Linked DNA regions of Arabidopsis thaliana. The protein of the gene in region 1 interacts with the protein of each later gene in a pairwise test. Each region holds a gene or a part of one and is shown in the gene's direction. Other genes may lie near its edges. The genes, in order: bHLH121 and AT4G23770.

Region 1 (17,515 bases):
TAAACATTTTTATTATTTGGTTTGGGATGTTCTCAACTTCTATATCTCTTGTGGGAATGTATCCTCATTTTTCCAGGACATTGATCAACACACTGACTATCGTGCTTTTAAAAAGAAATGGGGGAATGATCTCCGGTTCGAAGCAATTGAGCGTAAGGAGCGGGAGGGTTTACTGAATGAAAGGTACCAATATAGATCTTGAGATCATATTCTATGTATGTTGGAAAGTTTGCTTATAGCCTTCAAGTTTACACTGGATGTGTCTTTCCCTGTTGCTTTGTGATGTTTTGGTTGTAACTGCAGCGGATCCTTTTGGGGAAGTTTTTCCTTGTACAAGAATGATATGCCCTTTATGATTTTATTTGTCTTCATGTGAGTTTTTGAGTGTTTGATAGTTTATACACTGTCTTGGCTCTTATATTTTCCCTGGTTCTGTTGCAGAGTCCTTTCTTTGAAACGAAGTGCTGAACAAAAGGCACAAGAAATTCGCGCTGCTGCTGCCTCTGATTTCAAGACAATGCTACGGGAAAGAGAAATATCAATAAATTCACATTGGTCCAAGGTATGTAGCATATTTGTTTCTATCCTTTGCGACCAAGAGAGATAGAGTATGGAAAATTTCTAAAGTTTTCAGGAACTTATGGTGTTTGAGGAAATTGTAATATTTACTTATTGAAGTTACAAGTATTAATTTTATGTATCTTATCTCTTATCAAATACATCATTTGATTGGCACCATTTATAACTGGTTAGCATATTCATACCACCTATATGATATATTTCCATATTTTATCAGGTGAAGGATAGTCTGAGAAATGAACCAAGATATAGATCCGTTGCGCACGAGGATAGGGAGGTTTTTTATTATGAGTACATTGCGGAACTAAAAGCTGCACAAAGGGGAGATGATCATGAGATGAAAGCCAGAGACGAAGAGGTAAATTAACTTTTTATATTCACAAATTACAATTCATGAAAAGCGCTAGAAAGTTCCACAATGTTTAAGCAGCCCTCTTATACTTTCTTTTCAAAGTGAGAATATTCACGTATTCCCTGTTTTCTGGCATGTTATATTACTTGATTGTTTGTTCTAATTTGAGAGACTTTGGAAAATATTATTATCATCAGATTCTCTGCATGCTATTGCTAGTGGTGCAGGAAGAAACAAGTTGTAAATTAGCGAATGTTATAGTTTGCTATACAAGATTTTTGGATCTCTTTTGTTTATGTGCCTGGAATCCAGCGTAAAAAAATAAAAATGATGTTTTACTGGCTATAAATGTGGTAAACTACATAGACACATAATGTATTTACGTCTGTGTGATTCCTGAATTTGGGTTCAGGACAAACTGAGGGAACGGGAGCGTGAGTTGCGGAAACGCAAAGAAAGAGAAGTGCAAGAGGTGGAAAGGGTACGACAAAAAATTAGAAGGAAAGAGGCAAGCTCCTCTTATCAAGCTTTGTTAGTGGAAAAAATCAGAGACCCTGAGGTATTTCTACTTCTTTTATGTAGCTAGCTAAAAGTTTCATTTGGGCTAAAGATGTTAGTTTGTAAATTGTTTACTCTGTGGGGATTCTGATTGGTTTTCTTTGTTACTTTCTTCAACATCTGAAGGCATCATGGACGGAATCTAAGCCAATACTTGAGAGGGATCCTCAAAAACGTGCCTCTAATCCAGACTTAGAACCTGCTGATAAAGAGAAGCTATTCCGAGACCACGTAAAGTCATTATATGAGGTACGTGTACTACTCAACTGTAACCCTTACCAAATCAAATTCTCAGCATTTTCTGCAACAAGATCAGAACAAAACTTAGTGTCAAGGACCTTTTCGGCTTATCTCCTTTTTGGTTGATTTGAGGAAGGAAATATACTATGGTTGCCTATTTCGTCTAAATGTTTTTCTTATTGTGCTTCACAGCGATGTGTTCATGACTTCAAAGCTCTTCTAGCTGAAGCGTTGTCATCTGAAGCAGCTACTCTACAAACAGAAGATGGAAAGACTGCGCTTAATTCTTGGTCAACGGCTAAACAAGTACTGAAACCCGATATCAGGTACAGCAAGATGCCGAGGCAAGATAGGGAAGTCGTATGGCGTCGATATGTTGAGGATATATCGAGGAAACAGAGACATGAAAACTATCAGGAGGAGAAACAACGAGATTACAAGACCTAAAAAAAACCTTGAACCAATAGGCTCTACCCCATGGCTTGATATGTTGTGAACAAAGATCACCATGTCTTGTTGGTTTTTTCCCTGTTTGTTAACTGTAAACTAAATAGTTTTTTTTCATGTTTCTACTTTAATTTTTCCGAACAGTATTGTTTCTGTCTAAATGTTTGATTTGGTAAGATCTTAATGTATACAATTAAATAAGATGTAGGTTTGTTTTTGCTTTGTCCAAAAATTTAAGGTTTGGAGATGGGAATAAGAAAATGAAGATTAAAAACGTTACTCCGAAAATTTTTAAGATTTACTTAAACCGTTTTTCTGAAAATTATCAATCAAATTTTTTATTCTGTAGTTATCACTTGTTAGGCTACGATGTAGAATCTACTAATATTGACAATCTAAAAAATATGATACTCTTTTGGATATATATTAATCATTACTACAGTTCAATCTATATGGTACAACTTTTATTTTCGTGCAAACAAAAAAATAAGAATCTATGTAGTACAATTTGGTAAATTGTATAGAGTGGAATGTTAGGATATGACAATTTTCAGTCTACGTCTGTGGTGTAATCTCAATATCCATGAATTTCAAGAATATCAAATCTGGAGGGGGGCATGTGACGTATATAGCCAAGAAAATATTTTCTCCCGTGATTTGATTTTGATTTTGAATTGTTTTGTATGCAATGCTCAATGAATTCAAAGGCCAACTTGTTCATCTATTAGTTTCTTTCGATCAGCATTTTTATTTTTATTTTCTAAAGAACCAGAAATCCAAATTTGAAGTGTATCCTATAATATTCGAAATCTGTACTTGTTATGTGAACTTGCAGTGACTAAAGGAAATGTGCGTCGTATAACAGAAACTGATTATTTTTTGTTTTCTACATCCTCTGAGCAAATGCCTCAAATCTAAGAGCAAATATAGAACGTATTTGGAAGTGTATAATCCATGATTACTCAAATTACAAAATATCCATTTTATTTGCATCCACAAGGACATAATTATATGCATTCTCAAAACTACGTAAAATACATTTTGCATGAAAAAGCTTATAATATACACGAGACGTGCATGTGTGTGATGATGATATGATGACATAAAAATCTATATCTAGAGAAATAAGAAAAAAATGACGAGTGAATTAATTATTTAACAAAGCCTTGGAAAACTAGAACTTGAATGTGTATGTCCATGTCTCACAGATCTTGACATTACTTCACTCTTCTTCTCCTTACTAACTTTTTCAGAATTATTCCATTGCTTCCTCTCCAAATTCATCATTAGATCATCTTCAAACTTCTCCGACATATCAAAACCTTTCAAACACACCAGTATTGGTTTCTCTTCTAAGTACTTACGTGAATTCCAGATCTTGTTTACTTTGTTCTTGTCCTCTCTTGAGTGTGGTCGAGTCTCGTTTGATAATTGTTGTGACTTGAGTGCTTGAACTGCAATATTTGGAGGGATCTTGGGATTTTTTGCAAGTTGTTTGCATGTGTCCAATGTCAATTTCTTGTAGTTTAGACATCGACATAGTTTTGTTCTATCCTCGGATGATAGTTTCGGATGAGACTGCATAATCATAGTTTATATTAGTTCATGCCTTCAAAATATATTGACTAAACAAAACCAATTATATAGTAAAACTGTAAAAGTACTAAAAAAGCAAGAAGACGCCATATTGATTTTTCTTTTCTTTGCAAGATCACATTAAGCTTAATTAGATTGAACATATTTAGTTTTCACGTGAAACTAATCTTGTTCTTCTTATTTAGAAACTTAATAATAATAAATAATTAGTCAAACAAAAGACAAAGTAGCTAGATTCTGATCACATGAATGTCCAGTAACCAGGACAATATATAACACAGTAATTACTCATTAGCACCCTATTCTTTTATTTGTTTACTATTTATAACCACATAACATGTTTATTAATTAATGTTTTTATCAAACAGTATTCGAAAATTGCAAACGCAAACATACAAACCAATCAAAACGTCTGTGTGTCGTATTTGTGTTTGCAAATTTCAAGTGAATGTTTGATCAAACATTAAAACTGTTTTTTTTTTTTTTGTTAAACAACGTTAAAACTGTTATGCTTTTAAAATACAGACAAAATATTCTAACTAGTAGAACACAGAAATCCAAATGTAAATGATTTGCGTTTGAAAGTTTCAATATAATTCCACTTATTTAAGTTTTAGGACAATTATTAAAATTTTGCCACCAAAGTTACCACTAGTACTTCAACGTGTATGAAAGTAGTATGCACATATATATGCAATTTCAGATTTTCGAATCTTTAGATATCACAAATAAAAGAAAGACAAAAAGATAAGTTAAACTCTTTCATCTATTCTCTTGAGAAGTGTAAAAAGCCAAACTATATAGAAACTTGTATACTTCTTGTCATCTTCTATTTCACTCTATTGTTTGTTTTCTTTTGCTAAATCTCTACTTTGTTTGTTTTTGTCTCATTTTGTTCAATATCTTTTTTTCCAAATCAACGTGCAATTATTTGGAAAATAAATCTATTAAAAAAAAACAAGAAAAAACAGAAATGTAATGAGTGAAAAACTGACCTCAAGATAGATGTTAATGGCTCTGTATAATCCATCAAACCAATCTCTAGCTGAATCTGGCAAACTCTCTGCAACTTCAAGAAACTTTGACACTTTAAGATTCTGGTCTGGAGATATCTCTCTGAGATACTTATCAATCAACTTCCCAATTCTTCTCATTCTCAAATTCTGATCTCCTTCTTCTGTGTTTCCAATTCTTACAAACACTTTGAGTAATCTTATCACCAAATCCACATCGTAAACCCCTTTTTCTCCTTTTCCTCCAGCTGGTATCAGAAGATCATCAAGTGTTGCTTGATCCAGCATTTCTCCTATAACCCTCTCTAAACCAATTCTTGATTCTTTACTTATGCTAAATCCCGATAAAACTCGCAGAACCCAGAACATTTTTCTGCATGAAAACGCGGTTTTCGCTGCGAAAACCACTCCTTGAACCGCTGTATCAGCTAAACCTGAATACTCGAGCTTGTTGGTTGACTTGTTTGGGACCTTTGTCTTGAGGTAATGGAGAAGAAATTTTGTGAGGACCAAGCTGTCATTGTTCTTATCATGCGCACCAAGTGTATTTATCAGCTTTTCAATGATTTTTGGCCCGAGAATTGACATATCGTCGAACCACCACTCGTTACTTGTCCTGCAAGAAAAAGACCTCGAAGTAGACCTTTTGTCTGAATACGACCTAATCATTGCCGTCTCCGGCGACTGAGAGGAGGCTGAGGCAGAGGCAGAGGAAGACGGAGAGGATGATGAAAAGACATGACTCACGTCTGAATTCTGAGGGATTTTGGCTAAAACCCCGAAAACAAGCTTATCAACAAGACCGTAAGAATCAGCGTGTAAGAACACTTGCTCGCAGCTCTTGAGACACAATACGATGTCGTTCCAGGACCAGTAGAACATTCCTTCTAGAAACTTCTCTGTTCGAAGCAAGAGATTCGAGGAACAGAGTTTCTCTGTCATCTCAAGGAAGACAGAAGAGCAATGCAAAATGGACACATTTGAGACATCTATCGAGATTCCTCCACCATAACAGAATCTTAAAACCAAGTCGAACCCATCTGACCCACCTGGAAAATCTTCAACCTCGATGATGATTCTACTGTTCTTGTGATTCTTTTTCTTCTTATTGCTCTGTTTTATCATCTTCCTCAAGAAGCCTGAGTACTCTGAGATCAAATCCTAACCCAAGAAACAGAGAAACAGAGTTTAATTCAGAAAATGGAAACAGAGGAAGTTAGGGTTTGAATTAGTGTGGAGATTTGATTTGGTTTATTACCTGATTGACGAAGAAAGTAAATTGGTTATTGAGATTGATTTGAAGATCACAGCAAAGAGACATTGTATCAACTTCTTTTGCATTTGGTGAAGATGAAACTTCTTGTGAGCTTTCTTGTTCTTGTTCTTCCTTTTGGATTGGAGAGAGAGAGAGAGAGCAATAATAGTTATCACATGGAAACGGCTATTTATATATCTCTTTTTCGGCGTCTTTATTTCAATTATCTAATGTACACTTTCTTTTATCATCCTTTATAACTCATATAAATTTATGCAAAAGGAACTTATATACAAACGTCATCGAAAAATTGTATAAACTGGTCGCATGGACCAACTTGTAACCCTAGTGTGTAGACCATCTAAAATAGTGAAAATGTAATAATTTGTTGCCGTTTGTAATGAAAAAATTATTGTTCGTTATTGTTTAGTTTTTTTGGTATTAGATAATAAGATTCATTGCTTAATCGAAATGTACTATATGATATTAATTTTGGAGCAATTAGCTTGACATGCATAGTTTACTTCTTTACATTAGAAAACCTTTTTTCTAACATCGAACTTAAGAAAAGTTATATAAACTGCATTAATTGACTGCATGTTTATTTTGAAATCCATATAATCTTGTGTGCAGAGCACAAATCAATATGACGAGGCGTTGTTAGTTGTTACTAAAAATAACCAGGTGCAAAGATTGATTCCTTAATGCTTCATTGATCAGGATGGCCAAAAAATAAAATAAAAATTGGTGTTAGAGGAAGAAAAAAAAAATACAGTAGGTGGGTAAACAAACAGCAGGGAAATAGCTTACAATTTGTTGAGAATAATTCATAATTATGACCAACATTATTCAGGTTATTTGGGGTAAAGTAAAAATGTATTGCATCAAATCAAATAAGATTTACATTTTAGACAGTGAACTATAGGTCACGACTAATATCAAATATATATTTCCAGTAGCACAGAAAATGATGCTTCATGAACTCTCACTTATGACTTGTCAATAGCTCAAGGACTATGCTACTCAAGTTGTAATATATATATTCTGTATTTATATGCTGTTTTATACACACGTAACGTATATATGAATGTGCCCCCTTTGTTTTTATGTGAATTATAAATATTCTCCCTTTCTTGGCATTACATTATAAATTCGTAATACTATTATTCCACTTCCATGTAATTTCAAGAGTTTTCTTCCCTTTTTATTTGTAGAATATTTATATATCAGTTGCTTGTAAAGTTGGGAGTTTCACTTTCATTGCATGTGAATGGGCCGGGTAGGGTTTTATGACTCTAACGTTTGTGAATAAAGTCGACTACTTGCTTTTCATCATTATCCAAATCCAGCCATGTAAAATATATGTAATTGAAAACGATATATGTAACAAAAATGTTATAAAAAAAAGATACACCAATGTCGATATACATTACGACTCTTTGAGTACAAAATAAAAAAATATGACTAACTTCCGATAATAGTTTTTATTTATTATTAAAAATGAAGTTTCCAAATAAAATATCATTTTAATATCCATACAAATTATGAATAGTATGTGAGGTTTAGGGCAAAGTCTTCTGAGGGTTCATCAATGGGATGGGAGTGGGACGAAGAAACGAAGGCGACGAGAGGATTTAGGTTTTATTGTTTTAAAATTTTTGTGCTCTAGTATTTAAGCCCTTTAACAGGATTTTACAGGGACCAACAAAAATGTAAAGCCCCAAAGGAAGAAGCCCACTTAAAAAATACTAAAGTAAAAATAAATAATTAACAGGCCCATTTGGCCTCATCGACTAAAGCTAGCCCAAAAAGAGGATACAATAAAATTACATAAATTTTGTGTCCTTTTCGATTTAACTTTTTCTTTTAGAAGAACAATCCTTTGTTTTTTTGTGCAAATCTTTAGAATCTCGAGACCAAAACTTAAGTAATCATCAAAAATTTTGTCAAGTTTACATTTCTATGCCAAAAATTATACAATATCATAATGTTCAAGCAGTGCTCTAGAGAGCAAGAAAAAAATGGTTAAGACATAAAAACTAGTCGGCTAACACTGTTCAAGAACCATGATTTATTTGCTTCATCAACGAACTGATTATAATTCAAATATTACAACAGAGCGGCAAATCATTCGAAACGCGGTACGAACATTAAAATTTGATGTGCATTTTGGCCAAAATATTTGTTGATGGATTCAATTGGGTAGTGGAAGAAGAAACTGTCAAAGTACACCTACTTTGCAGTCAAGTTGTAAGAACATAAAGTACGTATTTTTTTACAATTTCTAAATATACTAAAAGCTTGCAGAAAGTATGTATATCTAGAAGTACGTATCTCTTACGTTTGTGAAAACTATTTTTATAATTTGACAATTTTAAATGATTTGATTATTACACAAAAATAGTCGAGGTTATGTAAAAATATTTTTTAAAATTTTCGATATTTTGTCCGGTACAATTATGTCACCATCTCGATTCAAGATATAAAAGAGTTAATTTAGTTTCACAATAAAAATCTCGTACTTACTTTTCAAACTTTATAATTGTGTTGGATAAAAAGTACAATTGAATCTTTTAAAATCAACAATGAGTGTCTGTTTTGATAAATGCATAAATTGGAGTGAAAAGAAAAAAACAATTCCAGCTTTTGCGAAGTTGGACATATTAAATTCTACACAATTGTTTTTTTTTAAAAATACAGAATTGTAGATAGAATGAATATTGTTTTTTTTAATTAAAATAATTGAAAAAATGGGGATAAGAGAAAATGGAATAATGCTTGTGAGCAGAGAGAGAGAGCGAGCGAGGAGGCTAGAGAATCGAGAATCGATCTTCGCCGAACCACCTTGTCTTCTCTTAGCTCATCGAATCTCTCCGTCGCCGTCGATTCTTCCCGCCGGTGAATCTCTGCCTTATTGTTTTCTTCAATTTGATCGTCCTGAATTCATCGTCCTATTTAGGGTTTCGATCACAATCTGGTACTTCTCTTAATCAAAGGAATTTTTATTTTGATTTTGAGGGTTTTATTGGTTTGAACTTAGCTCTCTAGCTCGTGAAAGTGTTGTTAGTTCGTCGTGGAAATCAATTCCTTCCCTGTGTTCTTCTTCAACAACGTTTAGTAATTTTTTCGTAGATGTTTAAATCTCTAACTTGTTGATAGAGATAGATGTTATTATTGCCAAATTAGGTGTACAAAAGAATGTGGAATTTTCTGTTTGAGATTAGCTTCTCTAGTAACCTTCTTTGCAATTCATGATGCCAATTGCTAAGTATGTAACTATGTCTGGTATGTGAGCTGGGATCATATGATACCTGACTATCGACTCAAAGAGAATTATGTTAAGTCAATCAAGGCTTAGTTCTGAGGCTACAGTGTGTGTGGTCGATGTGCTGTTATGGTGGAATTGGATACTAAAATATGTCTAAGAGTGGGACTGCAATATGACCTTCTTAGTTTATTCGATGTTTTGGTTGCAGAAGAGGAGGTCATGGACGTTTCTGCTAGAAAGTCACAAAAAGCTGGGCGCGAAAAGTTGAGGAGGGAAAAACTGAATGAGCATTTTGTTGAACTGGGAAATGTACTCGGTATAGACTCAATGGTTATGTGGATTTTTCTAAACAGCAGATGATCTCACTTTGATCCTCACATAGCTCTTCTGTTTGCAGATCCAGAGAGACCCAAGAATGACAAAGCCACGATTCTGACTGATACTGTTCAGTTGTTGAAAGAGCTCACATCTGAAGTCAACAAACTGAAATCTGAGTACACCGCATTGACAGATGAGTCCCGCGAGGTTCGTACCTTATCCCTTACGCTCCAGGCTTTTCCTAACAGAAAAAATTAGCAGTCTACATGACGTAAAGATATCGATAGGGATCCCAATATAGATAACTCATTGTCTTTTTGCTTTTACGATATGGTGACTACACCTATTTCGTAAGATGCAAACTCAGACGGGCTATATAATGTAACTGCTTATAGGACTTGTTGTTATCATCAATAGCAACACTTACAAATTTACTGGTACTTGTATAACAACGGTTCTTTCTGTAGTTGACACAGGAGAAAAACGACCTGAGAGAAGAAAAGACATCGCTGAAATCAGATATAGAGAATCTCAATCTTCAATACCAGCAGAGATTAAGGTCAATGTCTCCATGGGGAGCTGCGATGGATCACACAGTCATGATGGCTCCACCACCCTCCTTTCCATACCCTATGCCTATTGCTATGCCTCCCGGGTCAATCCCAATGCATCCATCAATGCCATCTTACACATACTTTGGGAACCAGAACCCTAGCATGATCCCAGCTCCATGTCCTACATACATGCCCTACATGCCTCCTAATACAGTCGTTGAGCAACAATCCGTGCACATTCCACAGAACCCCGGTAACCGTTCTCGGGAACCTAGAGCAAAGGTTTCAAGAGAGAGCAGATCTGAGAAAGCAGAGGACTCCAACGAAGTTGCAACACAACTCGAATTAAAAACCCCTGGATCTACTTCTGATAAGGTAGAGAGACTTAAAACTAGAAGCTAGAGATCTCCAATTTTTTTCGGATTTATTATCTTCACAGTTATTCGCGAAATTGTATTTTGAAGGATACATTGCAAAGGCCAGAGAAGACAAAGAGATGTAAGAGAAACAACAACAACAACTCAATAGAAGAAAGCTCTCATTCTAGCAAGTGTTCATCTTCTCCGAGCGTACGAGACCACAGTTCTTCCAGTAGCGTAGCTGGTGGCCAAAAACCTGATGATGCAAAATGATTCGAAAGAATCTGATGTTGATCATCTCAAGTATCCAAGTATCGTTTCGATGAGTACTGTATATAGTGCGAGTACAAAATGCACTTAGCTGTTTAAAGCAGTGTTTTGATGCACCGTGGCATTCGTTTTCCTCGGATAGTCATTTCTCAGATGATTTTCATCCTTAATAGGTCTGCTTTAGTTCTAAAACTCGGATGATTTGTAATTTCCAGTGTCCAAATCTACTAATTTTATTAATCCTATAAATTAAACAAACTTATATCTTGATTTTTTTTTAAAAATCATAGATTATTTATACTATTGTACAAAAAGAATTACATTTAAATCGGTAAATATAGTTTCACCATAAATATATGGTTTCATTAATATCATAAATTAGTAATGATATAGATATATCAACAATATATATTTATATATATATTATATGTAAGAAATTTCTTTGAAATATATTTTTAATATTTAGTTCTCATTTGTACTTATTTGAATTTAGTTCTAATATTTTACTGTATCAAAAAAAATTTGGTGTTATTTTTTAGACATGAGAATTATTTTTTACTTATAATTAGTTATAAAAAAAATATTTTTTATAATGAAAGAAATCTTATAGTAAAAAATTACTATGAAAAATTTCTTTATAAATTAATAAAATTTTAGAATCCCAACATTATTAATTTGTAAAGGTTTTACTGTAGTTAAGTTCAAGTTCAATTTAAGCTGGTGCTAAACGTTAGCTACGTGTTCGTATGATGTCAACTGTCTAGATACAGGAAAATTTCTCCGAATATACAGCGACTACACATCAACCATAGAGAACAGTATGAAGTAAATATACCCTCTATCCATCGCATATGTAGTTTGTGGGAGTGCTCTGTTGGTTTCGCTTTCCTCTGATGTTGTATACCCTGTATTGTCAAATATGACTGCGACACGGTTCCCACTCATCTCATAGACCGCTAGATAATAGTCTGCATGTATATAAAATAATTGTTAAAGACAAAACATAGGGCATACCCAATATCCTTTGTGCATAGTATTTAGTATGTCATGGAAGTTAACTAGGTCTTTGAGAGTTCGAACGCCATGAAGAGCAAAAGAAAGAGAGGAAATACGGAAGAGAAAGACAAAACAAACTAAAAACCAAAAGACATTTGACCTATCGTTTCTGTTTCACAGGACGACCATAAGATGTAAAAGTCTTGCCCATCCATTCCACAACCCATTATCGATTCACAAGGCAACATAAGAAGAAGTTTACATTTCGATGAGCTAGAGCAATTCTCTAGCGCAGATCACAAACAACCAACTCCAACCTCTGGTTATACTATCCAAGATTTTTACAGGATGGTGCCTGAGGCTGCCAGGTTTCGAAGGAATAAAGAGTTTTGGTGTAGCAAGAAAAATTAAGTTACAAGACACTAATTATATTGTAGATAGAGACAGAATTGAAATAAAATATGGAACATAAATAAATAATTAGATAAATGAGTCAGCAGCTTCGGTGAATTGTTCTGTATCTCGGAGTATTACTGCCGGCGACGAGGATAGTCTTATCTTCTCCTCTCTAATGACTTTGATTCATTTTCCTCTTCAGATTCAAATCCTAGATTCAATCGGAGAATGACCACGACGACGCCGGAGAAGACTCCGGCGAGACCTCTCTCTATCCAAGATTGGGACGTTCTCATCGACGACTTCCGCGACGCCGGCGCTCCTCGCGACTGGTTCACTTCCGTTTTCCAGATTGATTCTCTGGTGGACTTCGCTCTCTCGTCTCTCCTCAAAAAAGACTTCCCTACACCAGTGAAGCTCTCAATCCTAGTCTTTCTCGATGAATTTTCCCCGATTTTGTTTGATAATTGTGGTAGCGATACCTTTGATCGCTTCATCGATGTTCTCCGGACGATCGTGCAATCTCCAACTGATGGATCGTCAGGATTGAAAGAGCAAGCTATGGTCTCTTTCACGTCTGTGCTTGTATCGATTGATTCTTTCTCTGTAGGTCACGTTGAAGCAGTTGTTGATTTGCTTCTTGCGCTCGTTAATCGTCCTAACCACGGATTTGATCGACAAGCTCGTGCTATCGCCTGTGAGTGTTTACGTCAGCTTGAGAAAGCTTTTCCTGGTTTGTTATCTGATGTCGCTGGTCATCTTTGGTCGTTGTGTCAAGCGGAGAGAACTCACGCCGTGCAAGCTTATCTTCTCTTGTTCACCACAATTGTCTACAATGTGGTTAATCAGAAGCTTAAGGTTTCACTTCTTAGTACCTCTGTACCTTTGGTGCCTTTTAATGCTCCTAATTGGATGCGTGATGAGAGTTCGATTATGAGTCAAGGTCAAGGGTTGGGGCCAGATCAGAAGGAACTGAGACGAACATTGGCTTTTATGTTGGAATCTCCGTATTTGTTTACTTCTTGTGCTATGATGGAATTTATGGGTATGGTTGTGCCACTTGCATCGGCGTTGGAGTTACAGGCTTCTATGTTGAAAGTTCAGTTCTTGGGGATGATTTATTCGTTTGATCCAATGCTTTGTCATGTTGTCTTGCTTATGTATTCTCGGTTCCCTGATGCGTTTGAGGGACAAGAGAAAGAGATCATGAGACGTCTTATGCTCTTTTCAAAGGAGACTCAGATCTATCTTGTTTTCCGTTTGCTTGCGCTGCACTGGTTAATGGGTTTGTTGAATAAGCATATGTTGAGTGGGGAGCTTGAGAAGAGGACATCTGTTCTTGAGATGGGTCAGAAGTTTCATCCTGTCGTTTTTGATCCACTCGCTTTGAAAGCGTTGAAGCTTGATCTGCTGGTACAATGCTCTGTGAGTTCCAACGCTTTGAGTGGAGGTGATAACAGTAAATCTGCTGGGGATTTGTTGCAGGACTGCTTGGTATCGGTTTCGGATTTCAAATGGTTGCCTCCATGGAGCTCAGAAACTGAACTAGCATTCCGCACTTTACACAAGTTTCTGATATGTGCATCTACACATTCCGACTCTGACCCTTCCACCACTAGAATCCTTATGGAGTCTAGCCTCTTCCAAAACGTGCAGGTCTGTAGCTCTCTTTACTTGCTTCTTGGTCTTGCTTGATGATGGTTTACTTTTGCTAGTTTTCAGAAGGAACGGAACTGTGTGGCCCTTTTTAGTTCTAATTAGCTTTTAGTTCAGGAACCAATCTTTTGCTGATTCTGCTCTCAGATATACTCTTCATTTGTTTTGATTGTCTTCTATATTTAATTCAGGGGTTGCTGGTAGACATGACTTTGGAGTTTCAAATCTTGGTCCCTGTTATTGTGGCTTTTATTGAGCGGTTGATTCACTGTCACAAGCATCAGTGGTTAGGAGAGCGGTTTCTTCAGATAGTCGATGAGAATCTGCTTCCCAAACTTAAGAAAAAAAACTTATTAACAGCTTACTTCCCGCTTTTCCATCGAATAGCCGAGAATGATACAATACCTCCTTCTCGATTGATAGAGCTGCTTACGAAGTTTGTAATTTCACTTGTTGAGAAGCGCGGACTTGATGTGGGGTTGAAATTGTGGGATCAAGGAACTGAAGTTCTTGGCATCTGTCGAACATTGATGAGTCACCATAAGAGCTCTAGATTATTTCTCGGACTCTCTCGCCTTCTTTCCCTCACATGTCTCTATTTCCCTGATCTGGAGGTCCGAGACAATGCTAGGTATGACCATGACACCCACGTAAACGAATCTTTCTAATATTTATGAATTGTGATGACGTTAACTCTACCTCATAAATTGGTACATTGTAGGATATATCTGAGGATGCTGGTCTGTATACCAGGACAGAGAATTAAGAACATTTTGAAGCCGGCAGATGCTGTCACTCCATCAACCCATTCTTCTACATTTTTTAGTGTTCAAAGTCCTCGTTTTCGTCATGATCCTAGTAAATCTCGGAACCTTTCATCCTATATTCATCTTGAACGGGTTACGCCCCTACTCGTGAAACAGTCATGGTCATTGTCTCTACCATCTCTAAGTGTTGGAACTGATGGATATAGCATTATAGAAAACAAAATCCAGGTAGATGAAGTTGAGCCGGATGGCAGTCAAGAACTTCAGATTTTGCCAGAAGCTCGAAGAATTGAATCAGGAAAACCTACGTTAAGGGTAATGGACTCAAAGATTGCAGAGATTCTAGAAAGATTAAGAAGATATTTCTCTGTGATTCCTGATTTCAAACACATGCCAGGAATTAAGGTTAGAATAACGTGTACTTTGAGATTGGATGCTGAACCATATAGCAGTATATGGGGAAGTGAAACTCAGAAAATCGATTTAGAGAAAGTCGACTCACCTCCTGCGATTTTCGCGACGGTGCTCAAATTCTCATCTTCAGCCCCTTATGGCTCTATTCCCTCATGTCGCATACCTTTCCTTCTCGGTGAGCCTCATTGGAACAGCAATGTACCCAATGAAGAAGTTTCTTTAGACATTGTCGTGGTAGAAAACACACTGAAAGAGGAGGAAAAAGATGGCTTGAGAGGAGCACCTGTAACAGTGGAACTGGAACCTAGAGAACCTACACCAGGTTTGGTCGAGGTTTCAATGGAAGCAAATGCAGAGAATGGTCAGATGATTCAGGGAAAACTCGAGAGTGTCCCTGTGGGGATTGAAGACATGTTCCTAAAAGCTCTTGCTCCACCGGACGAACCTGAAGATACAATACCGAGCTACTACTCAGATCTATTCAATGCTTTGTGGGAAGTGTGTGGTTCTTCGTCCAGCACTGCACACGAAACATTTGCACTAAAAGGTGGCAAAATGGCTGCAGCAGTCAGCGGGACTCGGTCAGTAAAACTGCTTGAAGTCCCTGCGGAAACTGTAATACAGGCCACTGAGCTTCGTTTAGCGCCCTTTGTGGTGGCTATCAGTGGAGAACAGCTTGTAAACATTGTAAGAGACGGAGGAATTATTGAGAACATTGTGTGGAAGGAAGAGGAAGAAGAACAAGGGGATCACACAAATGCGGACCAGCCTTCTTCATCCTCGGTGGGATTAAACCGAGGCCCTCTTCGTCTGACATACATTGGATATGGAGATGACCAAGAGGTTCCGATGACGAGAAGTAGGGGGAAAATGGGAACGATAAAGATGCTGATGTTTCTGCCGCCAAGATATCATCTAATGTTTGAAATGGAAGTTGGGCAAGGATCGACATTGGTGCATATAAGAACAGATTATTGGCCTTGCTTAGCTTATGTTGATGATTACTTAGAAGCTTTGTTTTTGTAATAATAGCAGAGACTTTCACTATTTTCTTCTTATTCTTTGGGCCCAACCTACATGTAAAGTTTTACCCAAACGAACAAACACAAATTCTGTTTTTTGAGAAGTTTATTTTTATTGGGATAAAGTAGGAACTAGTGCAAGTGAGATGGTTCTAAAGTTAATCTGTATCTTTGGAAGGCCATAAATGACAAAGTTCTAAAACTGTTGTTTAACTAAATAGAAGAAGAAAAGAAAAAAAACTATTATCATAAAAAAAAAGCTAGTAGGTTAATGTTTAGTCTTCATGTACTCGTTTAGTGGTAAACCTTGTTGGTTCGGTCCCTCACACTTCTCTACCCTTTCCTTTGCTCTTCCTCTTCCTCTTATTCTCTCTCCTTTTGGGTACTGCAATTTGGTTGATTTGCACTAAACTTGGAACATACGAGCTAAAACACACAATTGGGCTACGCAATGGTTTACATTCTCCAAGATCCACTTCTTTCAAGTATCTATCTTCTCCAATAATGTAAGCTGTTTTGTAGCATTTTGATTTGTTTGAACTAAAAACCACCGCGAGTTTCTTCTCTTCGTCAATGAAGAAACTGTCAAGCTGAAAATCAAGAAGAGCACCGAGTACTGTCTCAATATCAACTTTTAAGAAGGGTTTCCAAAACACCACATTGGGCTCAATCTTAGTAGTAACCCAAATCTCTATCACATTTTGATCATAGCGTTTAAGTAACACCGCGAGTTTCTCTTCTTTAACACAAGATAGACCTCCGGTATCTCCGAAATCAATATCAAACTGAAACGGTAGATGAAGAAACTTGCCAAATCTCTCTGCCGTAAAATCAAAACAGATTAAGATTTCAGGGGTTTCAACTTCATCTTCATCTTCATCGGAATCTTCCACTAGTATTCTTTCTTTAGTCAAAAAGTAAGTATTTCCATTTACCAATGCGCATATATCATAGTCTATATGCCAGTTGGGATCAGTGACATTAAAAGCACTCCATGAATTAGACTTTACATCGTAAATTTCGTAGTAGCACTGGTAGTCATCACAGAAAACTTTCAATATCTTGTGATTCTTGTTGTTGTCACATCCAAGAGCATACGTATTGTATCCTGTTTTTGTGGTTTTGGTGTTGATCCATCTGGTTTGTCCTAAATACGGGTTCCAAATAATGAGCCTTGATGACTTCTCCCTTGTTACACATAACAATAAGCCGGCGCAGTAAAAGACTTGAGATGTTTCGACTTGATACATTGATATACTAACAAAGTCTTCGTTGAGGATTCCGTGAAGATTGAACCTCATTGAGCAAAGCCTATAATCCAACATCATGAACCCTAGAAACTGCTGTTTTGGTTCTCCTATACATAGAATCCGTTCTTTGGATAAAGCGTTCCATCCTTTGCAGGTGGATCTCACTGCTCCTAGAGAAGTTATCGGAACCCTAGACAGTATCTCC
Region 2 (16,218 bases), on another chromosome or scaffold:
CAAATAATAATAATAATACAATGAATGAATGACGCAAAAGAGAGTGACGCCATTATAAAAATTAAAATATCATTTGGAGTACTAAAACTAGAAAACAAAAAAGAATGATAAAAGGGAAAATCCACGCGGAGAGAGGTTTGAAATGTCTTCGGTCCAATCCTGTCCTTTTGAATATTGATTTTCTTTTTGATTTTTCTTGCTTTTTATTAATCAACAAATCTGTTTTTTGGAATTACGTTTTTTCTACGTTGAAGTGATTTTTTTTCCTTTTGTAAAAGGCCTACGTTGAAGTAAAATTACATAAATAAATGTATGTTATGAATATCGACCCAAAAAACAAATTATTTCTACACTATACTTTGCGCAAATCAAATCTATCGAAAACGATTTTGGTAATCCCATTCCCATGAGTGAGTTTTGACCCAAAACAAATTTAAAAAAGTAACCATTTCATTAGTAAAACGGTAAATATGGTTCATAAACCTTTTAGTGGTTATTGGTCCTGTACACTACACTCGTGTGTGTCAACTTCAGCTATGAGATTTTTGCTGTAACTTTTTGGATAACGGTTCAATTATTACAAAGGTTATTTCTTACGTATGAGAGGTCCAAATTACAATTGAATAATATTTGATGACATACAAAGTTAAAAAGGATTAATCATAAGAAATGAATGTTGGAATGGAATGCATCTATCGATCTGACTACTTTAGATAGCTTGATGTTGGACTTAGTCAGCAAAGACCTTATCATACTCTTGTTGTATTGTATATATCGTATCACACAGTGACTGGTTTTTTCTACTTTTCTCTTTGGAACATATCAATCATTATGTATAAATAAATTTTGTCCAAATTAATGGCCATTTGTCTCAACCATAAATAAATATTTATTCACACACCTATATGACTATTTGAGATAATTCCATGGTGACTTGGTCAGCAAAAACCTTGTCATACTCTTGGTGTATTATCACATAACTTTGTAGATTATATTCTTATGGAACATATCATATATATTTGTCCAAATTAAACCCATTTGTATTATTTTCCCCTCTCGAGTTTAATATTTCTTATTTAGAAACAGTTAACAACTTGACATAGCTCACATAATCACTCACAGACTATATATGTATAAGCAACTACCATTTTAAATATTATTTAGTTATATTGTTAGACTGCAACTATTATTTATTTTCTTTGCCAAACAAATTTATATTTTTTCATGTTAATACAATATTATATCTTGAACAAATGTATGCTTAAATATATTGACACAAAACAAAAACATATAGGGGTTTTTAGGAAGAAATTTTGTACAGATTAATTAATCCTCATCAGATTTTTATTTTATATCTTATTTTTAGAAGTGTATGATTTTAAAACTAGAACAATCAAATCTTAGTAAATTTCATTCAACATAATTTTTATGTTATTGCTAATCTATTGAATGTTAATAAGAATTGTATTATACCAAATTACCAATATGTGTTTTGATACTTGTACTTAAAACAGAATGTGGAATATCCTTTCCCTTATTAATGATATTAAACATCATTACAATTCATAGTTATAGCAATGAAATATTATCCATAGAAAGGTTGTTGCATAATGCATACTAGTAAAGCATCAACCAACATATTTTGAAAATATTCTTAATCAAATAAAAAACATATATTGGAAATTCTTTAACAGTAGAAAAAAACATATAATAATAGAGAATCTTAATCACATGTACAAAGTCGTAGTTTTGAAAGTGTACATTGAAAGAGACAGTTGTATAACCCTTTGTTGTCTAATTATATAATTAACCCACTATAGTTAAATAAATGATAAACTTGGTTACAACTACATTAACAAAATTGAAATGTTGAATTGGTCAGCCTTTGACCTTATACTCTTTCACTACCACCACCCCACTTATCAATTACACTCTGGCCCTATACTTCCTTATACCAAAGACTTTTCTTCAATTTGAAAGTTTTGTCTCTCTTTTAAAAAGAAATAAAATAATTATTTATGGTTTGGTCATTTGGTCAAATTTTCAAACACTGAAAATCCAATGCCTTTATATACCAAACCAACACTCATCCATTTTTATCACCAATCCTATAACACTCTCATTCTCATCATATCATTCTTCAATCTATATAACCCATTCTTAATTATACTCAACACACATTATATTTTTCTGATCATATCATTCTTTCAGTCCATCTATATAACCAATTCTTGATTTATACTTAAAACACACATTATACATCTTTCTCATCATAGTTTGTATCAATTTCCTAGAGTAAACTACCTAAAGGAAAAAAAAAATCTATTTTGGGAATCATATACTAAAAATGGAAGGAAGAGATATGTTAAGTTGGGAGCAAAAGACATTGCTAAGCGAGCTTATCAATGGATTTGATGCGGCCAAAAAGCTTCAGGCACGACTTAGAGAAGCTCCGTCGCCGTCGTCATCATTTTCATCACCGGCGACGGCTGTTGCTGAGACTAACGAGATTCTGGTGAAGCAGATAGTTTCTTCCTACGAGAGATCTCTTCTTCTGCTAAACTGGTCATCCTCACCGAGCGTACAACTTATTCCGACGCCGGTTACTGTAGTCCCGGTGGCAAATCCCGGCAGTGTTCCAGAATCTCCGGCATCGATAAACGGAAGTCCGAGAAGTGAAGAGTTTGCCGATGGAGGAGGTTCTAGCGAGAGTCATCATCGCCAAGATTACATTTTCAATTCAAAGAAAAGGTAACAAATTGTTGATATCTTTTTTCACAATTCACCAAATTGAATTTAAAAATCTCATTTTTTCTAGAAACTAATTTGAAATTTGGGTAATTTTTGCAGAAAGATGTTACCAAAGTGGTCAGAAAAAGTGAGAATAAGCCCAGAGAGAGGCTTAGAAGGACCTCAAGATGATGTCTTTAGCTGGAGAAAATATGGTCAAAAAGACATTTTAGGCGCCAAATTCCCAAGGAGTTATTACAGATGCACACATCGTAGCACACAAAACTGTTGGGCAACGAAACAAGTCCAGAGATCAGACGGGGATGCTACGGTTTTCGAAGTGACGTACAGAGGAACACACACTTGTTCGCAGGCGATCACAAGAACACCACCATTAGCCTCGCCGGAGAAGCGACAAGACACCAGAGTCAAACCAGCCATTACCCAAAAGCCAAAGGATATTCTCGAGAGTCTTAAATCCAACTTAACCGTTCGAACCGATGGGCTTGATGATGGTAAAGACGTTTTCTCGTTCCCTGATACGCCGCCGTTTTACAATTACGGAACTATCAACGGCGAGTTCGGCCACGTGGAGAGTTCTCCGATCTTCGACGTTGTTGACTGGTTCAATCCAACGGTCGAGATTGACACAACTTTCCCCGCGTTTTTACACGAGTCGATTTATTATTAATTAAAATTTGTAACAGAGAAATAGATAGTAACTAGTAAGTAATGATCAGCGAGAGTTAAAACATAAAAGTACTTAGAGTAATCTAACGATGCATAATAAGGAATGTTCAACAGGACTTGAACATGATTTCAATACTAAGAGAGATTTATCTAGCTACTGGTAGTAGCCGCAGACTTCTTGTTGTAAGCTTCCACTTCCTTTTTGTATGCTTCCATCAGTTTTGCGGCCTTTCCGTTGTAAACTTGCTTCTCTTCTTCACTCAATTCCTGCAAAGACGTATTCGCACAGATAGATTAACAACAGGAAATTGTTACAAGCCAATGTGTTTTGTTGCTAGTAATTGTGATTTTTCATACCTTCCATTTCAGTGAAATGAGAGCAGTAACAGTAGCGTTGTTTGTCCCGGGACGTTCTTCTGTCAATTTCTTCCTTTCGTCCTTGCTGTAAAAACATGATAAGTTAGGAACTTTCTATAAAGACCAATTCGGATTATAACTTGAAGTAAGTTCATACCTGAAGAGAAAGTATGAAGAAGCAGGCTTCTTTGGTTTGTTAGGGTCAACGTTTTCGTTCTTCTTCTTCTTGGTCGCCTTCTCCTTCTGCAAGAGACAAATAATTATGATCCTGTGAGTCTCTGAGTTGAAATAGACCTTGGTGAGTTAAGTGTGAGTGAGAGAGAGTTATTACCTTGATCAGATTATCAGTTTTCTCCTTCTTCTTAAGCATTTGAAGAGCTTCTTGTTTGTGGAGTTTCAAGAGTTCCTCTTCTTCTTTCTTCTGACTCAGGGCTTCTTCTTCCTTTGTCCTCTTGTATTCCTCCATTGCTTGCAGGTATGTCTCCTTGTTCTTCTTTGCCACCTATTTAAACAAGAATACCTCAATCATTCAGTCTTAAGTCTTTAATGGCAGTGAAATGCAAGCATATTTGTATGGAAACAGACCTTCTCGTAGGGTGCCTTTTTCTTGTCTGACAAGTTCTTCCACTCCTCTCCAGTGATCTTTGCGACCTATAACCACATTTAAACTCCATAAGTTAGCTTCACAATTTGACAAAAACTGATCTGGAGAACGAATTAAGTAATTAGATTTACCTCCACGACGCTTTTGTTTTCTTCGCGTAAAGCAGCTCTCCTCTCGTTTGCATAAACAAGGAAGGCAGATACGGGATGTTTTGGCTTCAGAGGGTCCTTCTCCTTCCTGCAAACCATAAACAGCTCTAGTTAGTTTACTATTGATGATCAAATTGATATAGTCACTAAGACTTTTGGTTTTTACTTGTTCTTCTTCTTGTTGTCCTGTTCAGCTTCCTGGACAAAGTTGAGATACTGATCAAGCAATTCCATTGCAGTTCTCTGCTTCTGGTCATCCTCCAGAAGCTTCATGGCCTCCTTCTCGCGCTTCTCCTTAGCAATGACCTGGAGGTAAGCTTCTTTCTCAACCTGGTACCTTTCCTCGTAAGGCTTCTTATCTTCTGCACTAAGAGACTTCCATTTAGCCCCCAGAATGTTCGAAGTCTCCTTGAAGTCAGCCTCAGGGTTTTCCTTCTTGACTTCAGTCCATTGATCTTTACACCACAAAACGTATGAGGACGATGGTCGCTTTGTCTCAGGACAATCCTTTTTCTTCTTCTTATTCGCCTTTTCTTGCTCAGCCTGTGTGAGAGATGACTGACCGCAAGCAAAAGTCTGAAGAGCAAAAAACACAAAACACTCTCGAATCAATATCCAGAAACCAGTAAATATTTTCTCATCATCAACAACAGATAACAAGGAATTGTCAATTGAAATGAACATATCACTATATTAGCAACTGTGTCAACAACAAACGCATCATACACTAAACGAGAACCAATCCTGACTCTGACTTAGATTCTAATCTCTAACCTATGAATCTATGACGAAACTTTGATCAACTATCAAAACAAAATCTCAAATGATCAATAACACATTCGGAATAAGCATAAACCAGATATATTCCAACCTAATCTAAACACCTAGATCTAGAAACTGACTATCAAGCCAAAATCTGAAATGATCAATCAATAAATTCCAATATAATCACAAAACCCAGCCAAATCGAGAACTAAAAGCTAGATCTAGAGATTATACCATGTTAGGTTTGAATTCCTTCATCTTCTGAAGCTTCTTCAGCTCCACCTTGAGCTTCTCCTGCTCAGCGTCTCTGGTCTCTAGCTCCTCCTCCTTCTTTCTCAGAATCTCATCCTTCTCCTTAAGTAACTCCTCCGTCTTATCCTTCTCGATCTTCATCTTCTCCAACATTGTCTGCATCTCCATCAGATCTTGCTCGAAAGACTTCGCTGACTTCCCCTTGACGGAGACAGGCGATGGTGGCGTCTCCACGAGCTCATTCTTCTGCTTCAACGCCTTTCTACTGTTCCTTGGTTTCTTCGTCGGAGCTGGATCTGCGTTGGTCGCCATTTCTAAAGTCGAAAATGAGAGAGAGTGAGATTTCGAAATTTAGGGATTGAGAATTTTAGGTGGAGCCTCCGTAAAATATCTTCGGGGTTATATAGAAAGAAACACAACGGTCTGATAAATTCGAAATTCAAAAAAATATTTCGTGGATTTGATACTTCTTTGGCGTCCGAGGATATATTTGTAAATTGTTAATCTTTTTGAATTTTCAACAGTTGGAAGAATATTTCTTTAATTTCCTTTTTTGAGGGATTTTGTTTATCTTTAAGAAATGTTAACTCTTATCACTTTATCAGTGAGATCTAAACCGATTTCAACCGGACAAAATCTGGTGTAAACAGAAAAAAACATAAATAATGATTTTACAAAACCGGAAAAAATTAACTCAATTACCAAACCGGTTATGCTTCCTTCACCGGCTAGCTCCCAAGAATCAATATCACATTATCTCAATTTTTCTTACATAATTTTACATGTTTCCAATTCACACAAATTTGTTCAGTATTAGTCTATTTATTTCCATAGAACCGGTTTTCCACTGGCCATGTACCAATCACATTTTGTGTGCCTCTCAGCCATTTACTATAGTCTCCAATATAACATCATTCAAGTAATCAAACGGACCAGGCAAGCACCAATGCAAACAATCGTTCTGTACCTTTGCATTTTTGTCTTTATCAAACGGCCTGAACTGTCGGTACTCACCCGGATGACCGTCCGGTCGGGTCAGCAACATCCGGGTGAAATCCAAAAGCTTTAGATTCCCACCGTCCTGGTTAGTCTTCTCTCTAACCGCCCTCTTGAACTGATCAATCTCAATATCTTTTAGTATCTTATGTACATCCTTAATCTCAATCTCCTCATCGCTCACCGGCTCTGTTTGCTTACACGTCCCGCCACTATGCCATTCCCCGTTTTGGAAATGATCGGGAGTCGAAGTCCGAAAGAAAACCGTGCCTTTACTGTTATCTTCAGCTGCTAGAAAGTCCATGACATTATGCAGCGATGCGTTATAAGCATAGTCGAATCCTAACTCTTCTATGTGAGGTTTTTCCTGACAGTTATGGCAACCGACGAGTTTTGCATTTTCGTGGTAAATTGCGGATTTAAGAAACCATTTACCGGTTGAGATGATCGCATAGTCGAAGCTAGGCATGAGACTGGTCCATGTCTCATCGAGTCTATCAAGATGTAGCTGAACAGAAGCGGTCGAGACACCGTTAGAATCTTCGAAAATAGCGGCTTGAACAAGAAATGGCGACCATATGTTGGATACAGTAAGGTTATGTAAAGGGAAATGCCAACGTTTTGATTTGTACTCCATGTCATGGTATACTTCAACCGGTTCTTCAATCTGGAGAGACCCCAAACAAAAATGAGTTTCTCAAGAACTTGAAAAGTAAAAAAAGTCGAAACAAAGATATGTTAAAAGCAAGCAAGTGTTATACCGTAGAGAGCATACAAAGCAGTGATTCGACGTGGTTACGAGATATGGAGTCACCAATAAATGCCCAAGATTTATGCCTCATAAGTTGAAGAAATCTTCTAGGGTCAAAACGTGGTAACAAACAGTCATGAGGTTTCCATTTCCAGTAGAGAAAATCTAAGTCAGGCCGGCCATTGGTGATACAATTTTGGTGACCGTCAATGAGTGATCCGCATGATTTGTTTGTGTAGATTGGTCCTACTGAATCTGGGATCCATTTTCCGGCGAAAAGATCACACTTCTCTACTTCAATATCTGATTCAAGAAACAACAACCACCCAAAAAAAAAATTAAGTCTCAATGTGAGATCAACTTTGATACAAAATGTTGTAACACTAGTCCAAGATCAATTTATTAGAAACCAGTCTTTGAACATTGCAGCTAATTAGCATCACTTATCAAATGATACAAGTCACCACAAGAATAACTTTAAATTAGAAGAGCAAGATCCATGAATTGTCATTTCCTTTTTTCTATTCTCTAAACCACAATCTAAAAAAAAACGTAAACAGAGCTTTAAATCTTGTAGATCCAAAACCCTTAGATCTCATAAATCATAATTGTGCTCACAAAACAAGGTTTAGTCACAAACAGTCAAACACAGTGGACAATACACATAGAAGTCAAATACTTTTGCTTTCTAAATAACTGATCTTACCTTGAGGAATCAGATCTTCATTTTCCGGTACGATAATCTCCGGCGGCAGAAACCGAGCTTCGAATTTTCCGGTGACCGACGCAAAGATTGGAGAAAACTCGCTGGAGTGGAGAATGAAGAGACGGAACGCGAAAAAAGATATCAGAATAGCGGAGATGAGCTTGATGAGAAGCACATTCTTATGATTCATGGAGATTGATGACAACTTCAACTTCATCTCAAGAAGAAGATGAAGATATGCAAACAGTTCAGTGAGTTGTTTTTGCCTTTTTGGTATTTGTGTGTTATGTTTATTCGACCGACCAAAGCTCTGGGGACTTTTCTTTATTATATGTTACTAAATCATTCGACCATTTCTAAAAAAGAACCATACAGTAAAATAATGAATAGAGACGTATTAATCTATTAATCTGTTTATATCACACAATTAACCAGACTGGTGATATAATGTTTGTTTCAATTCCTTCAAACACTATTTTATAAAAGGATTTCCTTAGTTAGTTAGTTTAATTACACTAAAATACTCAGATTTGTAAATTTTTTAACGATATTGTTATACATCTTTTTCCAAAACTTGAAGCACATTTTCAGACATTTATGATCAATATCATCTCATATAAATACATTCAAATCCATTGATATGAAGGATCACCTAATTAGGAGACCAGAAGTGTAATTAATTAACATGGAAAGAGTAGAAAACAAGGAAAGGCAAAAAAAGAGTTCAGACAGCAATACTTGGTGTTTGATTGATAATGGGCTTGGGCCGCTGGGCTAATGATTTGGGACTAAAATAAATATTAATTTTTGAATAATGATAATTAATTTAGTTAACTATCCATCTTCTTCGTTAACGTTTCCACTCTCTGCTTTCGTCTTTTCCCGCTCTCTGTTTTCTAGGGCTCATTAATCTGTGTTCCATTGTTACGATTCGACCTTTTCTGCACAATTTCTCTCATCTAACCGAGCTTATTTCTCTGTGATCGAGAAAAGATCAGCAATTTTACTTTCCGAGTAAGATTTTCTCGGGAAAACTCCTTTTCTCTGTTTCTTTAGTTTTCAGTTTGCATTTGGGAGAAACTGATAGGAATACTTTTGAGAAAGTCTGAATCTTTCGATTTTTTGCGAACATTTTAGTTTTGGTAGCTCAGTGGAGATTTGGGGTTTAGGGTTTTTGTAGAGTGAGACTGTGTGAAAGTTTCTAATTTGCGAGTGATTTCTCAGAAAATCTTTGTGGTTTTGTGTATTTTGTGTTATTTACAGGCTTAAGCTTGAACTTGAACACCAATGTCTAGTCTTGGGAACCAATCGGAGAAGAACAGCAATAACAAATTTTCCGATAATGTTCCACTAGCTCAACACGAGATTTGGAAAGAGAAATATGAGAGTTTGGTGACAGAGCACGAGAATCTGGTGAAAGAACATGAAACCCTAATCAAAACACTCGAGCTTATAGAGAAGCACGAAATCACATTAGAGGATTTAGTGAAGAAGAAGCAGCGAGAAGCATTGGTTGGGAAAGAAGAGATTGAAAAGTTTGACAAGGAGATTGGTGAAAGGAAGAAGATGCAAGAGATGCTTGATAAGGATCTTGAATACTTAAAGTCTTGTGAAGAAACTGTGATGAATGGTATGAGTTCAGGACCAAGTGGTGCAAGAGTTGCAGACAAACGTAATGTGAACAAGTTTGAATCACAAGAGGGTAATTTTAAGTGTTTTTTGATATGTGTCTAACTAAATGTGTTAGCATTACATAAACTAAACATGTTTCTATTTGCAGATGTGATAGAGATTAGTGACGACGATGAAAGAACCCAAAGTGAAAGCAATGTAGGAAACTGTAACTCATCACATAAGAATTTAGAGTACTCCTTCATATTGTGATCAAGATGTGGAGATGGAGAAGCACAATGTCAGATGTGGTGGTGAAACTGGAAGTTTCAAAATCTTTGGAAGTTAGTAGAAGTAGATGACTATGAGTCTCTCTGATGGACTAGGAGGGTTGATAAGATATGAAAGTTTGTAGTGTAACTGTGTAATAAGTGATTTAGCCCAACACAAAGTTGTAAGAGAAGCAGCTTGCATCATTAATCTACTTTCAGATTGTTCTATATAGTAACAACTAAACAAAAATTGAAATAACTAGCTAGTTTATGATATTCATTGAATCTGATGATAAGTTTATTCCTCTTGGAAGATAGAGATGATTATAGCTTAGGACAGGGAAGTACAAGGTCCTCATTTTTTTTTGGCCTCAAAATGATGTTTTTTGACTTTGTACCTTTTTTGATCCAAGTGCACTCTACTTCTGCAATCATAGAGTGCTTCAACAAGAGAGGGATTAACTCCAGTATTGCCCTCAAAGCATTCTTCAAACGGAAAGGTCTTCAAGCAAAGGTATTGTATATAAGGTTGTGATTGGCGACACAAAAATTGCGGATTTCAACACCTAATTCGAAAAACCGCACTATTGTTACCAATCACCATTAATTATTACATATACACGTTTTTTACTTTTCTATCAAAACACTATTCGCGTTTTTCAAAATAAGCTAAAAACTTACAGACCGCTTTTGAAAACAACAAACTTCCATAATCATGCGGTCCAACCAATTCCGCAGTAAATTTTACACATATGTTTTATTGTATTTTTTAATTATTAGAAGCATTTTTATAATTATATATATAATTTTTTACCCAAATAAACATATCTAAACTTTTCTTTCGCTTTATTATAACCTGTCTTTTTTTTTCTCTCTCTTTTTTCGACATCATCATACTTTTCTTTAGGTTCTATTATATAGAGAACTTTTGGAGTTTGGAAAAAAAAATGGAGGATTCTTTCTGATTTTTCAAAATATAATGTTCGTATTAAAAAAAAAGTGGTAATGGCTATAATGAGATTACATAATTTCAAACTTTTCAGATGCAGATTTTGCAAATGTAATAACAGAGACAAATAAAAATAATAGAGATTTTGATCATGATTTAGATGACATAGAAGTAACAGAGATAACAAATAAAAAACATATGACGCAAATAAGAGACAATATTACAAATATGTTATGGGAAAATCAAATTAATAAATAATATTTTTTAAATATTTTTATGATGAAATTAGTCAACACATGTAACGATATGTTTGTTATAAAATTAAATTTATATTTTGATCAATTTTTGTGTTAGTAGTTTATAAATATTTGTTATTGTTTATTTATTAACACAAAAAAATAATTAATTAATATATATATATATAATTTATAATCCGCACTGCAAGTAGTTTTTTTCACCAATCAAACATTATTTTGTACCGTTTATTTTGTACAAACCGCACTAATTCTGCAAATATATTTCTTCCGCACGTACCGCAGTTGAACCGTACCGCAGTGTAATAACGCTTTCCCCGCACAACAAAAACAGCGGTTACCATTCGGACCCTAAGTCTCTGCATATAAAATCTGGAATATGGTTAATCACTAAAACCAATCACTAAAGTAAAGTTGAAGGAGACAAGAAGAGTGTATCAACTGGTGAAGATGGGCTTGGGCCACTTGGCTAAATGAGTGGTGGAGATTAAAACTTAAATATTATTTTTGAACAAGGAAAATGAAATAAAGTATCATCTTCTTCGTTACTAAACACTCGTCTCGCCTTTTCCCGCTCTCTGTTTTCTAGGGTTCCATTGATACGATTCCATCTTTGTCGCGTAGTCTCTATCATCGACCCGAGCTCCTTTCTTTGTAACTGAGAAAAAGATCGACTTTTTTCTTTTCCGAGTAAGATTTTCTCAGGAAAAATAAATCCTTTTTTTCTCTGTTTCTTTTGGTTCCGGTTTGGGTTTAGGACAAAAATGGTGTGAATCCGTTTGAGAAAGACCGAATCTTGTGGACTGTCTCTAACATTTTAGTTTTGTTTTTGGTTGCTCAATAAAGATCTGAGTTTTAGGGTTTTGTAGATTTTAAAGTTTCTCTTTTTAAGGACACATTTCCAATTTTTTTTGTTAATCAGGTTAATCTTGAATTGATTAAAGACAACAATGTCTAGTCGTTTGGACCAATTGGTGAACAAGTACAACAAATCGTGTGAAAATGTTTCATTTGCTGAACACATGATTTTGAAAGACAAGTATGAGAGTCTGGTGATAGAGCATGAGAGCCTAATTAAAACGCTCGAGTTGCTAGAGAAAACTCATGGATTCACTGTTGAAGATCTGGTGACTAAGCAAAAAGAAGCATTGGAGAAGAAGGAAGTGATTGAAAAGTGGGAGAACAAGTTTGGTGAAATGGAGAAGAAGCTAAAGACTGTCGAAAGGAGTATCGAATACATAATGTCTGTTGATGTTCAAACCGGTGTGGATTCAGGTAGTGCAAATAGACCTAATGTGAAGAATAGTTATCAAAGAGGGATATTTTAGTGTTTTTGATATGTGGTGTGTCCACTTACTCTATCAAACCATGTTCTCTGACTAAATCTCTATGCAGATATGTCGACTAGTGAGGACGATGATGGAAACCGAAGACAAAGAAAAGGAAGACTCATTAACTCATCAGATCATGACCACTTCATTCTTTGATCAAGATCTGAAATCAATTTAGGAGATGGAGAAGAAGCACAGAGTCAGAAGTGGTGATAATGGGAAATTTCAAATCTTTTTAAGTTAGTAGTTCTTGTTGCTTTTATTTCTAGTAGGTGTATATGACTATGAATATCCGCTGCATTGTTCTTGCTATTGGAGTAAGGAGATTAAGATATGAAAGTTAGTATGTTAAGTGGATTTAGTATCACATAATAAGGTAGTAAGAGAAGCAGATTCCATCTTAAATCTACTCTCACATTGTTCCATAAACCGTTGAAAAAGAATTAGTTTAGTGATTGAACATGTTCTGTGTTCTTTAATGAATATCTGAAGATGATGAGCAATAAGAGAATCTGATCAACGAAAAAGATAATCTGTACGAATGAAATCGACAACACGGTAGTAAAGAAGTAGTTTGCAACAGATGATTTGAATAAGTTAGCGATCGAGGATGAGAGATTAGCCAAAATAAGAGGGAAAGTCAAATGTAGAAACTTTTATTTCTTCTTATAAATATGCTCTTTAGAGTTTGCAATATTCAACATACAAGACAACAAAGGGGAAACAAGGCATGACCCAGCTTATGAATCCAAGGCATGACATTAAAATCAATTACATGATTACAACTCAAACGATAAAAGAAAATCGGAACAAAGAACGTTATGAAGGTCTCTTTGTAGCTGAAGCTGCTCCCTCAGAGTCGTGATCTTGACTCGGTATCGAGAACTTCTTTACTTTCTGTAACATTCATTGTTCAAAACAAAAAGCCAAAAACTTCAATGAGAAATAGAGAGATTTCACTAGTTTGCACTTAAACGTGATTCTGTAAGGATCCATGTTACGCATAAAAGTTATAACCCATCAAGATCAAGACCAAGAATGGGAACAAAACCAGTTCCTACTTTGATTGCTACCTATAAAAAGAGACTAATAGTGAGCTTTCTCATTCTCTAATGGCTTCCACAAGAAAATCTGTAGTTTCTCAAGAATCATCATTGCATTGTTTCTACTTTTCTCGAGAGTAAGGGTATTAGCTTAGAGTAACCTAGTGTCTATGACAATCACTCAGAAACTGTTAAGTGTAACCACAGAGTTATTAACACAGATGTATCAAGTAAAGCTCCAAATGCTCCACCAATAACTTGGCATTTACATATTCATTACTCAGTAGTAGAAAAAAATGTGATAATTTCTCAAAAGTTTTCTATGAGAGACCAAGAGCAGCTCCAAAATTGTCATAAAGCATAAGTGACAATAACGATTCGATATATCTTGATCGATCGATGATAGAATTTTAAAATTTAGATACCTTGTCCTAAAAATTCAACTGACTTATAAAAAAAAAATGAATCACGAGCTCGTAGATCAGTAATTAGAGCGATAAAAAACCAACCTTTGATAGAACGCATTCTCTGAGAGATTGCAAAAATCGGACGCATTTCTCTTGATCGAAAGGAGACTCCGCGACGCAATTGAGAAGTTGGAGAGCCTCTTGGCCGCAAATTGGTTGAGTACTCTGTTTCTCCATTGAAGGTATAAACCCTAAAGAGGGGTTTCTCAGAGAGACAAAGATGTTTCCAGTGAGACGGATCACCCACGATCTCGGGGGCGACGACTCAAAAAAGAACAAAATCTTTAATGGGCCATAAAGCCCATCTGAGTTCATTCATCAAAGCCCTTTTAAGCTTTCTTTAACTCTTGTTCAAACTTCTTAATTAGCCCATAATGTTTTGACTATCAGAACAATATTTGATATACATACAATTATAGTCGTGGATGGTTGGTAGATGATAGATCGTCAAAAAAATTAATGAATGACGATGTAGTATAGAAGAAACACAATAATTTAAATAATTGTACATAATATTGAAACGTTGATTACACAAACCATCACATATTAACAACATTAACTTTGATCAAAAGCTGATTAGTACTCGCTACATGATCACCAATTCTTATAGAGGAACACACACAAAATCTCGGGGATATTTATGATGTTATTAAAGCCGTGACCATCGTCACAAAACTAGTAACGTTATAACACCTATATGGTACAATATTCACACTCAAATTAGATTGTTACATTATGGAGAAGATAACCGAAAAGGTAGTTGGAAGGTTAGTTCAGTAAAATTGAAAGGGAGAAGCAGAGCAAACATGTTAAGTGCATGGGAATGGCACGAGAAATGGTACGTGAAATATGAAGATGAATTAGACATCATTTAATTTCTTTGTTGGTCCTTCTTTTAATGTATTTATTAATGTGTCTCTGCCACTTTTCATGAGACACTGTCTCACTCACTTTCTATTCCACATGTATTTTTACTATCCACATTCTCTATATATGTTAATGCCTCTAATTTGTACGGTTTGTATGCTTATCTTGACCATGTAAATATGTACACTATCCGACCACACATCAAATTTTTGATTATATTAGAATGTCGGTTGAGTAAAACTAATTCTATATTGAATCATGGGTTTAGATAATGTATTGTGTAAAACTTTGTATCTTAACGAAAAATTAATGCAGAATTCATTCTTAAAACATTTCAAAACTATCGTATGTACATCTCTGCTAAATCTCAGTCAAGATCAATATGTCATCAGGACGTGAAAGACATATAATGGCTGATGATAGACCAAACTAAAATACGGAATAAATACGGAATAAGGCATAATGCATACGGAAAGGATTTACCAGTAAGAAGTCAAACATCCGTTGAAAGTTTGAAACCATGTCCTTTTGGGTTTTGGCCAAGACAGTCGTTGACCGACCGGTACATATAACAGAATCCTGGTTTGATCCGGTTCACAAATTGGTTTTTGGCAATAACTCTTAAGATCTAAGAAACACTTGGTTTCATTTCCACCATTCCACAAAAGCTTATCCAATGGCCCAACAGGTATTACGCCCCCACCCAAGTGGACGGTCAAGATTCGATGGACCACGGGATCCTAAAGCCGTACCATTTTCATATCTGAGACGCGTCATCGTAGTTATGGTCGTTAATACACAGTTAGAGAACGTTAGCTAGATCATATAACTCATGACGTGAATGGTTAGAATTGCTTTTACCATGTTCTTTCTTTCTTACCTTCTAAATTTTCTACTTCTCTACCAAGTATCAGACTGTTGAATACTTGAATGTGTCACAAAGATTTGTTTATCATGATATATTATAAAGTACTATAATTAGAAAATCATGGAGAAGATCTCTCATGAAAGGTCCCCATTTATCTTTTGGCATAAATCTTGTAAAAGAGCTCTGGAATTTTGTGACAAACAAAATCTTTGCATGAGGGGACACCAATACATTATATAGTATATGTATGATTGTGTATATGCATACATCTATGGGCCATGACCATCTTGAAGCCAAGCCTTACGAATTTAGGAAAGGGCACTGGAAAAGTCATGTGATTGTTTACTATTTTTGTTTTTTGAATAAACGAAATATAAATGCAACAAACCTCTTTAATACCCCCCGGCCCAATATTTGAAGTTTGAACCCACACAAGATTTGAATTATCAATTTAGTGAATCACTGCAAACTGTTTATTTTTTTTCCTTAATTTGATTGAGTTCTTAATTGTTCTCTTTATCTTGATGATTCTTGAAATACTTCTATAGCTCGAAGA

What was found.
Region 2: the proteins of bHLH121 (region 1) and AT4G23770 interact in a two-hybrid assay, tested with the Arabidopsis thaliana proteins (one large-scale study listed by BioGRID).

What each region holds. Positions count from the first base shown.
Region 1 is NC_003074.8:6,895,052-6,912,566, forward strand, and holds bHLH121 (basic helix-loop-helix (bHLH) DNA-binding superfamily protein), read left to right. Parts: upstream 1-8,705; 5' UTR 8,706-8,790; coding exon 8,791-8,938; exon of another isoform or gene 8,939-9,434; coding exon of another isoform or gene 9,435-9,516; coding exon 9,517-9,624; intron 9,625-9,705; coding exon 9,706-9,833; intron 9,834-10,093; coding exon 10,094-10,555; intron 10,556-10,644; coding exon 10,645-10,812; 3' UTR 10,813-11,156; downstream 11,157-17,515. Other genes in the region: PRP40C (pre-mRNA-processing protein 40C), read left to right, coding at 77-183, 442-562, 797-937, 1,344-1,490, 1,616-1,738, 1,922-2,176; AT3G19850 (Phototropic-responsive NPH3 family protein), read right to left, coding at 3,332-3,754, 4,768-5,946, 6,044-6,106; AT3G19870 (AP-5 complex subunit beta-like protein), read left to right, coding at 12,430-13,857, 14,049-14,488, 14,579-16,064; AT3G19880 (F-box and associated interaction domains-containing protein), read right to left, coding at 16,384-17,515.
Region 2 is NC_003075.7:12,379,869-12,396,086, reverse strand, and holds AT4G23770 (uncharacterized protein), read left to right. Parts: upstream 1-11,590; 5' UTR 11,591-12,036; coding exon 12,037-12,361; intron 12,362-12,481; coding exon 12,482-12,573; 3' UTR 12,574-12,923; downstream 12,924-16,218. Other genes in the region: WRKY53 (WRKY family transcription factor), read left to right, coding at 2,348-2,751, 2,851-3,421; 3xHMG-box2 (HMG (high mobility group) box protein), read right to left, coding at 3,571-3,687, 3,778-3,862, 3,935-4,020, 4,109-4,279, 4,363-4,428, 4,513-4,618, 4,697-5,106, 5,530-5,859; TBL24 (TRICHOME BIREFRINGENCE-LIKE 24), read right to left, coding at 6,428-7,210, 7,305-7,597, 8,001-8,217; AT4G23780 (uncharacterized protein), read left to right, coding at 9,288-9,702, 9,781-9,884; AT4G23760 (Cox19-like CHCH family protein), read right to left, coding at 13,237-13,314, 13,970-14,242.